Canis lupus familiaris: one gene and its partners. The protein of the gene in region 3 interacts with the protein of the main gene of each other region in a pairwise test. Links are inferred from orthologs where the notes say so. Each region holds a gene or a part of one and is shown on either strand. Other genes may lie near its edges.

Region 1 (2,512 bases), on a different chromosome or scaffold from region 3:
ATATTAGGGGGCCAGGGCCAAACTGATGGAGGTCCCAGGCTTTTGGGTTTCAGTGATAGGGCTGGGAGGCTGGTGGGGAGAGGCAGGCTGGGAACCTAGAAGGGGACTTGAGAATATGGGAGGGGAAATAATGAGGAAGGGGCAGGGAGGTGTGCTCCTATCATGGGCCCTGAACCCTCTATGCTGGATCCTGCTTGCTCCAGACCCCTGGGGCCCCAGAGAGCTCAGCACTGCAGCCTCCAACTCAGAGCTCAGAAGGGTTGGTGGGAGCCCTGATGCACGTGATGCAGAAGAGAAGCAGAGCCATCCACTCCTCAGGTGAGAGCCTGCCCTTTGCCAGGACAGTGAGCCCAGTTCCTAGGGCTAGTGTTGGCCTAAGAACAACTCTACCGGTTACCATTCATAGTACATTTCTTTTTTTTTTTTTTTTATTTATTTATGATAGTCACAGAGAGAGAGAGAGAGAGAGAGAGAGAGGCAGAGACACAGGCAGAGGGAGAAGCAGGCTCCATGCACCAGGAGCCCGATGTGGGATTCGATCCCGGATCTCCAGGATCGCGCCCTGGGCCAAAGGCAGGCGCCAAACCGCTGCGCCACCCAGGGATCCCCTCATAGTACATTTCTTTTAAAGATTTACTTATTTATTCATGAGAGACACAGAGAGAGGCAGAGACATAGGCAGAGGGAGAAGCCGGCTCCTCGCAGGGAGCCTGATGTGGGACTTGATCCCTGCCCTGATCAGAAGGTAAATGCTCAACCTCTGAGCCACCCAGGTGTCCTGTATCCATAGTAACATTAACCCCATCATGACTCTCACGTTTGTCTTCTTTGTGACAATATTAACACTGTCATTATGGAACAATAATAGAATTCACTCTTTGACAATAACATTAACATTAATGCCAAGGCATGGCCACAATATTAATATTAATCCTGTATGTCCAGTAGTGTATAACATTAGCCCATATGTGATGATATTATAAAGGACCCCACCATAGGCAATAATATTAACTTGAACTCTGTGTCAATAGATGAACATTAGCTTGTAATGTGATAATAATATCATAACCAACCCAATCTATCATAACATTCATCCCCTAATTGTGTCAATAATATTACTATTATATGACAATTAGATGAGGGTAATGTGAACCTCAACAGATTACTGACAGTATTAACATTAATCCCAGAGTAAGCCCACAGATTAATATGAATCCATTATATGACAATATTATAACAAACTTCCTCTTTTGACAGTGATATCAATAACCCATTATAGGTCAACAATATTAACATTAGCCTGTTATGGAACAGCACTATTGTAATGTACTCCACCTTTGCTTATAATACTTAAAATTCACCCCAGTAAATAACAAGCCTGTTAACATTAACCCTTGTGTGGCAGTAACCACATAGTTGGGCAGTAACCCACCTAACTACATTTCTGACAATGGTATTAACTTTGATTCCAACTTCAACCTACACCCTAACTCTCCCTCCTCTGGGTGGGCCCCTTGCTCATCCAACTGCACAGGCCCCCAGATCTGACTTCCTAGCAGGAGATCTCAGCCCCCTGCCCCAGACCCTGAGTCCTGACCTCTCAGACCCCAAGAACATTACATCACCCACGGCCTTTGAACCCTTCTGCCCATCCTGAGTTCCGCTTTTTCTCTCCCTCTCAGACGAAGGGGAGGACCAGGCCGGCGACGAGGATGACGACGATGAATGGGATGACTGAGTCACCTTCTGCACCTGTTCTGAGCCTCCTCCCCCGGCAGCTGCTGCTTGCTGTCCTCCACTCCTGGCCTCCAGGCCCTCAGGTCCCGTTTCTTCCCCACCAACCCTTCCAATGCAGTTATCTCTGACTGGTCCTCAAACATTCACCCTAGCAGTAGCCAGGGCCCCTTTTTATACAGAATTTCTCAGTGCTTCTCACATAATGAGTTTTAAACCAAAATAAAATAACTGTCTTTTTGTTTCTCTAATCTCAAATTGGTTTATATTCCAAATGTGGAAATTTGGGGTCCTTTTCCCCCAAAGTGTCTTTTATTCACCTATCCCATTTCATTTATTTAGCCTTACCTGTGTACATTCACTCATTTGTTCCCTCATTTATTTCTTTGTTTCCTTCTGCCTTTCTTTCCAAAAACATTTGTTGCCCAGCACTACTTTAGGGGTTGGAGCTAAACCAGTGGGAAGAAAACCTAATGAGGCCAACATTCTATTGGAGGAGACAGATACAAAACCAGGAATCAAACAGAAACAACAGATAGTTTCAGATCATGACAAGTGCTGTGATAGGCTGAGGGGGAACAGCTTCAGATGGAAAATTTAGGGAAAGCCACCCGGAGGAGGTGACAGTTGTGAAGAATCTAAAGAGAGAGGAGTCAACCAATAAACCTTTGCGGGGAGGGCATTCCAGGCAGAGGGAACAGCCCGTGCAAAGCCTTGAGGTAGGGAAAGCTTGGAGGTTGAGCATGGTGAATGATCAGGAGTTATTTATTCCTTTACT
Region 2 (3,656 bases), on a different chromosome or scaffold from region 3:
GGGCTAACCAAAACAAACCACCTTATTTTTCCCAGTCTCCTGAAAGTCAGTGATAGGAGAGAGGGAAATGTTTCATGCCACATAAAGAACCTATTTCCTTTATGAAGGGTCTCTACTGTTGCAGAATTCTGACTATCTATATAAACGGAGACTGGATAAATAACATTTACAAGCTTCAGTTTCCTCAGATGACTATTACAAGAAGTAAATGCATAATATAAGTAAAGTACTGAGCACAGTGTCTGGCATACAGTAAGCACTCAATACAAGATATTCTCATTATAATTGAGGTACTCCTTCTATCTCTGAGCTTTCAGGTCCCACTTAAAATCTCTTTTCCAAAATTCCTCACTCTGTACATATATTTATTTCTACTACCAACTTTATTTTTTTAAAAGATTTTATTCATTTATTCATGAGAGACACACACAGAGAGAGAGGCAGAGACACAGGCAGAGGGAGAAGCAGGTTCCATGCAGGGAGTGGGACCTGATCCCAGGACGCCAGGATCATGCCCTGAGCTGAAGGCAGACGCTCAACCACTGAGCCACCCAGGAGTCCCTACTCCCAACTTTAAAGTGGTCCTAACCTTTCTTTATAGAGAACTGGAGTGTAAGCCAAGTGCCTAAAGCACCAAGAGACTTTGAAAATGAATTCTAAAAATCTTCCCTAACTGCTATTACAGGATATATGTATGCAAATTAGAGTCAGGAAACATATTATTTATGTAAAAAGTGAATAAAATTAATTAGAATAAAGGAAGAAAAACGGCACTAATTTAATTTCCAATAGGGCACAACTATTTCTGCAATTCATACTAATTAGTTCAGTGTAAAAAAAAATGAGAACTCTTCAATTGAATGAGATCCATTTGAGAAATTCTCTTTAAATTCAGGGTATTTTGGGAAGCCTGGGTGGCTCAGCAGTTGGGCGTCTTCCTTTGACTTGGGGTGTGATCCCGGGGTCCCGGGATCGAGTGTCACATCGGGCTTCCTGCAGGGAGCCTGCTTCTCTCTCTGCCTATGTCTCTGCCTCTCTCTCTGTGTCTCTCATGAATAAATAAATAAAATCTTAAAAAATAATTAAAAATAAATTCAGGGTATTTTTATGTTAAAGTGTAGACATTTCTAAAATAATTTACTAAAGACAATTTATAAACGACCATCTATGATGATCAAATGCTACCTAGATGAAGTTATCATAATTTTTGAAGAATCAAAGATTAAACATAAATCAGAACTCCTGGAAAAATGACTGAGAGTCTACAAAATGAAATTTCAGAAAGTCATTACTATGTGAAAGAATGATTGATGCCACTCTATGCAGAAATGAAATAAAAATGTTTTTATAACCCACCTGTAGTTTCTGAGTCAAAGAATCCCTCTGTTCTTGTAGTTCTCTGGCATTATCAATTTCTTGTTTTAATCTTTCTATTTCCTAGAAAAAGTAGAGCAATGTCTTTAGCAACAATATTTAAACTAAATCAAGGAAAGAAAAGGTCTTATTTCTCCCTGAAATTACGGTCCAAGTTCTTAGAAAAAAATTTTTTTAAAAACATTCCTTTATGCTGATTTTTTTGAGAGGTGAATTTGTCTTTTTGGGAATGTTTTCTAGTACATGATCATCTTCAGCAATACGTCTACTTGGTGGCTGTGGTACAGCACTGCTTAGAAACCGTAATCACAACATTTTAAGGCTGCTTCAAGCTTTGTGGATATAATTCTTTCTTGGGATATTAAATCTTATGACTGGAAACCAGAGAAAGCAATAGTTTGGAAAATTCATTTAAACCTTTCACGGTTTTCTTTGGATTTTATGAATGTAACTTTCATACAGAAGGCAAGAAACCTTCAGGCTGACTGCCTCACCATAGTTCCTAACAGCAGAAACAAGGATGGAGAAGATATGGACACATATCAATCAAAAAAAATTTCATTCCCCCCACCCCCGCCACAACATCCCACAAGCTTATTTTATTCCATCAAGTACCTGTAAATCTGACAGAGATTCAAATATTTTGTACATATATGCTAGCCAGATTACACAGATGAGTGAAAAGTAGCAAATACCTCTTCCTTCACTTTCAGCGTCTCTTCCAGTTCTTGTATTGTTTGATTTAATTCTGTCTTGTGAGTATGCACTGCATTAGCTTGGCTACTAACACATTCAAGCTCAGTCACCTGAAATGAAATGTAAATACAAGTTAAATTATACGACTATGTCAAAAGATTTCTTGCCAAAAATATAATAAACCCGATAGGTAAATCATAAATTTGAAACAACACATGAAAATCAATTTTGAGGGGATCCCTGGGTGGCTCAGTGGTTTGACGCCTGCCTTTGGCCCAGGGTGCGATCCTGGAGTCCCGGGATCGAGTCCCGCGTCAGGCTCCTGGCATGGAGTCTGCTTCTCCCTCCTCCTGTGTCTCTGCCTCTCTCTCTCTCTATGTCTATCATAAATAACAAATAAATAAATATTTTTAAAAAAATCAATTTTGAGATACATTAAGACACTTAAGGTAGAATGAATAGATTCTTTAAGGACATGAATTTAGGACAAAAAAAAAAGACTAGGGGAAATAATTATTCATATGGCTTGCTCATGGAAAGAGCTAGGAAACTTAATTGATTAATGACAGTTAAGAAATCCTATTATGAAAGGCTTCTTTAAAAATTTCTTATCAAAACATATTCAAAATCAGCTATAACCATCTGCCTTCCATCTGTAGCTTTCAAGTTAAACATGGCTTCTGAAAACTGGCCTTGCAGAAGTGAGAAATTTTTTAAATATATTTCCAAATTGTAAGAGAATCTGGAAGAAAAGATACGCTTAAAATACAACTTAAATCATTCAATACTAGAATGACTTCACATCAATAGTGTCTCTGTAGCCAAAGACAACATTCTTTAGTCAATAAGAATGTACTAAGGGCCCAAAGAGCTACATAACTTGTAATGAGCACTTTAAGAGAACAGCAAAGGGCAGTAGCCCTAAAAGTTATACCATCCAAAAACACTATTGAGCCAACAGTCAAAATAGAAGTCAACATAAAAACAGACACACATACCCCATCACAGCCCTTCACATGCATTAGGATCTTATACATTTTGGCTGACTAGAATGCAGTAAGTTCTAGACCATTAGGGAAACAGTAAATCCACTTTCACATTTTCCAAATATATACTAACCCTCCATAAATGTCACTCTACCTTTCCTAACACTTTCTTCCCTTCTACTCATGCACTAATAGTCTTGTGCAGACCCTTATCATGTAGGCCTAGATTATAGCAATGGACCACCAGAGGACATAATTATATAATTTCTGTCTATTTTTACCTCTCCTGTAAACTAACATTCATCTATCGTTGTGTAACTCCTCCATTCAAAGCCATTCAAAGGATCATTTCTTACAACCCTCGGGTCTTGCATATACCAGCCCTAAACAATTTAACCATCCTCATCACCCAAGACACTCACACTATGTAAATATGTGGTTTTTCCAACTAAAGGTAGGCAAGTCTCCTCATCCTAAGAATAAACCACTCTCACACCCATCTTGCTGACTTCACTAGAATGTCCACTCTTACTGCTGAAGCCAATCAGACATTACCAAACCTTCAGCTCTCAGCTCAGCATGTACTTTCAACAGAAAATC
Region 3 (3,656 bases):
ATCTGGCTTCCTGCAGGGAGCCTGCTTCTCCCTCTGCCTGTGTCTCTGCCTTTCTCTGAGTCTCTCATGAATAAATAAAATCTAAAAAAACCCAAGCCAAAACAAAATAAGAGGTGGGGCACTGTATGGAGACTCCTCCTGTCACCTCAAACCCTGTCATGGCAGATGGTGAATATGCATATGGAGAAGGTGGCCCGAAGGGAGATTGGCACCTTAGCAACCGTCCAGCGGCTGCCCCCTGGCCAGAAAGTCATCGCCCCCGACAGCCTCCCTCCCCTCACGCCTTACTACAGGAGACCCCTCAACTTTGGCTGCCTGGATGACATTGGCCATGGGATTAAGGTAGAGAGAGGGCCCCTCCTCTTTTCCACAAACCACTCCCTCAGTTTAGTGGGTTCGCTTCTCCCCAGCCTCCTCCTCATTCTCTTCCACATCCACATTCTTGTTCCATCCAGTCTTATTCCCTGATCTTTCCTCACTGCCTGAAGCCATCACCCTTAGGGGACCCCTCCTCTCCAAGCCTCCCTCCTTAAAAGTCTTTCCTGACCCCTCCCTCCATAACTGGCCTTTACTCTGTCCTCAGATGGTTAGCTGAGGGTGCATCTGAGCACCCCCTTCCACAGGGGCTGGGTGTGTGTGTGAAGGGGAAGAGAGGAAGGGAAGGCGTCAGGGTGTACATGAGAATTGCTCCCCAGCCACATGAGAACAGTAACTTCCTCTGTCTGGAGGTTTGAGGTCAAGGCACTGAGCACTCCCCCCAGAGCTGCTTGCTGTTGGGTGGGAAGGGGTGGGGATGCAGCCACTCAAAAGGGAGGGGCCTGGTGAAGATGGGGAGCATGCCACTAGCATTTCCTTCTCCGCTCATCTCCTGAGAGGTGGGAGAGCACACATCCCTAACCCCATGTAGTCAGTTCCCACATGCCAACATCCCAAGGGAGATTAAAGCTCCCCTGGATCTCAGCGACCCCTTGAAACCCTCAACATACCATAGCATACAGACTATCCTCCCCTCCCTCAGTCACCAGGCTTCCCCACCAGTGAGTTCCCATTGCCCAGCTTCCATTCTTTTGGACTCAGCTCAGTCCCCCTTGTCTTGTGCCTAGCGGAGTATAGCAGAGGACAGCATCCCTCATGTGCCCACACTCAGGGACACCCCGCCAGGGACAGAAGCGCTCTCTCACATGTGGGCTGGCCCTTGCCACTTGTGCATTTTAAATGCTCTGTCCCTCTGTCCTGAGCTTCCCAAAGCCGGGTTCTGCAGGCCAGTCAAAATGACAGGTGGGGGGCACCTGGGTGGCTCAGTGGGTTAAGCGGCTGCCTTCCCCTGGGGTCACGATCCCAAGGTCCTGGGATCCAGCCTGGCATCCAGCTCCCTGCTCAGCGGGGAGCCTGCTTCTCCCTCTCCCTCTGCCTGCTTCTTCCCCTACTTGTGCTCTCTCTCTGCCAAATAGATGAATAAAATCATTTTTTAAAAATGGCAGGGGTATACCTCTAGGTGTGATGGTCCCCTCCCCCCCCCTTCCCGCCAACTCCTCAGCCCCGCCGGGGGTTGCCTGGGGTCTATGAGGATTAGAGCCCACCAAGCTGGCCACTGAGATGCTGTGCGCGCCTGCGAGGTGCGGATGCTAGGCTGTGCAGAGGAAGTGGCCTTCAGACCGCGTCTGCTCCAGGTTTCCGTCGGGCCCGCGGTCGACCAGAGGCCCAGGGCCCAGGCAGCAGCAAGAGGGGGTAGCTGTGTGTGGGGTGGGGTGCGATGTGGGGGGCTGGGAAGTAGAAGTGGGAACTTGGCTGTCCCCGCGCGCTCCCTCCCAGTTCGCGGCCGCCTCTCCCTCATTTCCCTTCTGGGACCAGGGGGCTACTGGGGAGGGGGAGCCCCATAGACGTCAACCCCGCCCCCTGCTCCCCCGCAGGATCTGACAACGCAGTTGTCGCGGACCGGGACTCTTTCGCGAAAGAGCATCAAGGCGCCTGCGACACCCGCCTCCGCCACCCTGGGGTGAGGCCTCGAGATCCCGAAACCCTCCTCCCCCACCCTCAGTGCAGAGGAGCCAAACTTCCTCCTCCCCGCACCTGACCCCGCTGGCCGGAAGCCTTCCTTCCCCACCCTAATCCACCCCTCCCCCACCCCAGGAGGCCGCCGCGGATCCCCGAGCCCGTGCAGCTCCCAGTGGTGCCCGAGGGCAAACTCTCCGCCGCCTCATCTGCCTCTTCCCTGGCCTCTGCAGGGTGAGCCCCACAAGTCCAAGTGGGGGTGTCACGGTGACTACTAGGGTGGAGACGACTCGCAGCACAGGCCTGGGCTGATGACTGAAGGGGCGGGGCCGGTGGGGGGGTAATGCCGAGTTAGGGAAGGGGTCCCCCAACTTAGCCGAGCCCTCTTTCTCTGGTCCTCAGCAGCGCCGAAGGTGTCGGTGGGGGCTCCACGACCAAGGGGCAGGCAGCACCCCCACCCCCACCTCTCCCCGGCATGGCCCCACCCCCGCCACCGGCCCCCGAGGTCTTCCTGCCTCCCCCTCCGCTGGAGGAAGTATCCCTGCCCCCGCCGGGTAAGGAGCTCCGCCCCCTCCTGGCTCCCCTGTGGGGTCTCTGCCTCACGTCCCCCAGGTCTCCCCGCCCATCCGATCCGCCAGCTCAGTGGACGTCCTAGGTAGGGGGTAACAGGAGAGGAAGTGCGCTAATTTAGCGCCTGCTTTACACCAGGCTCTGTGTTCAAGCTCCTCGTCTCTTTTTTCACTTAACTTAAAAACCCTAAGAGGATCTTCACACTCTGATTGCACAGATGCAAGTTGAGGCCGACAGGTTAAATTCAGTGACTTGCCTGTGGTTACCCAGCTGAGTGGCAGAGCCTGAGGACCTTACACCGCTCAACATTTGTGTGTTTACTGAGAACCTACTAGAGGCCTTGTGGTGGGAACCCTGATGGGCCCAGGCTGGAGAAAGATTACATAAATGGGTGGATGCTGGAGCCCGGATTTTGAACAGTGGAGTTTCCTGGGGGCAGTTGGAAGGGGGTTTCCTGTGCCACACCTGCAGGCTTTCTACTTTCCCTCCCAGCACCAGAGCTGCCCCCGCCCCTGGATCTGCCCCCTCCTCTACCCCTGGATGTTGATGAATTGGGGCTGCCACCACTGCCCCCACCAGACTTTGGGCCTGAAGAGCCTAGCTGGGTCCCTGCTGCATACTTGGAGAAAGGTACCTGATTCCTGGGACTAGGGATCCCCTCTCCTCTTCTTTTTTTTTTTTTTTCCCCTCTCCTCTTCTACACTAGAATCTGCAACGGTGTGAATATGAGCCCGTTATACACACACACACCCCTCCCTATTTCCTGATGAACTGACCAAACGTTCATCCAGGAGTGGTGAACCAAGATGGAAAGACAGGCAGCTGGCCTGGCACTGAATACTATTAACCCAGGTGGGGAAGCAGGGGTGGTCCCAAGAGCTTTGGGGAAGGCACCTCCTGCCCTACTCCCTGTAGCCATCCCCCTAGATGTTCCCTGGCATCCCCATGCTAGGGCAGGAGACACATCTCATGGCAACCTCTCCTCCCATCCTGCAGTGGTGACATTGTACCCATACACCCGCCAGAAAGACAACGAGCTCTCCTTCTCCAAGGGCACCGTCATCTGCATCACACGCCGCTACTCAGATGGCTGG

The links.
Region 1: the proteins of ABI3 (region 3) and WAS interact in binary tests that used the Homo sapiens proteins (3 or more experiments, as listed by UniProt). The two-hybrid records come from large-scale screens. The link is inferred for Canis lupus familiaris from reciprocal best matches to the Homo sapiens genes ABI3 and WAS.
Region 2: the proteins of ABI3 (region 3) and HOMER1 interact in binary tests that used the Homo sapiens proteins (3 or more experiments, as listed by UniProt). The two-hybrid records come from large-scale screens. The link is inferred for Canis lupus familiaris from reciprocal best matches to the Homo sapiens genes ABI3 and HOMER1.

The regions. Positions count from the first base shown.
Region 1 is NC_049260.1:42,092,819-42,095,330, forward strand, and holds the end of WAS (wiskott-Aldrich syndrome protein), read left to right. Parts: intron 1-203; coding exon 204-318; intron 319-1,682; coding exon 1,683-1,738; 3' UTR 1,739-1,985; downstream 1,986-2,512. UniProt on the Homo sapiens protein: Effector protein for Rho-type GTPases that regulates actin filament reorganization via its interaction with the Arp2/3 complex. Important for efficient actin polymerization. Possible regulator of lymphocyte and platelet function.
Region 2 is NC_049224.1:27,623,833-27,627,488, reverse strand, and holds part of HOMER1 (homer protein homolog 1), read right to left. Parts: intron 2,181-3,656; coding exon 2,070-2,180; intron 1,438-2,069; coding exon 1,357-1,437; intron 1-1,356. UniProt on the Homo sapiens protein: Postsynaptic density scaffolding protein. Binds and cross-links cytoplasmic regions of GRM1, GRM5, ITPR1, DNM3, RYR1, RYR2, SHANK1 and SHANK3.
Region 3 is NC_049230.1:25,333,422-25,337,077, forward strand, and holds part of ABI3 (ABI gene family member 3), read left to right. Parts: intron 1-165; coding exon 166-342; intron 343-1,910; coding exon 1,911-1,996; intron 1,997-2,130; coding exon 2,131-2,226; intron 2,227-2,394; coding exon 2,395-2,546; intron 2,547-3,054; coding exon 3,055-3,192; intron 3,193-3,558; coding exon 3,559-3,656. UniProt on the Homo sapiens protein: May inhibit tumor metastasis. In vitro, reduces cell motility.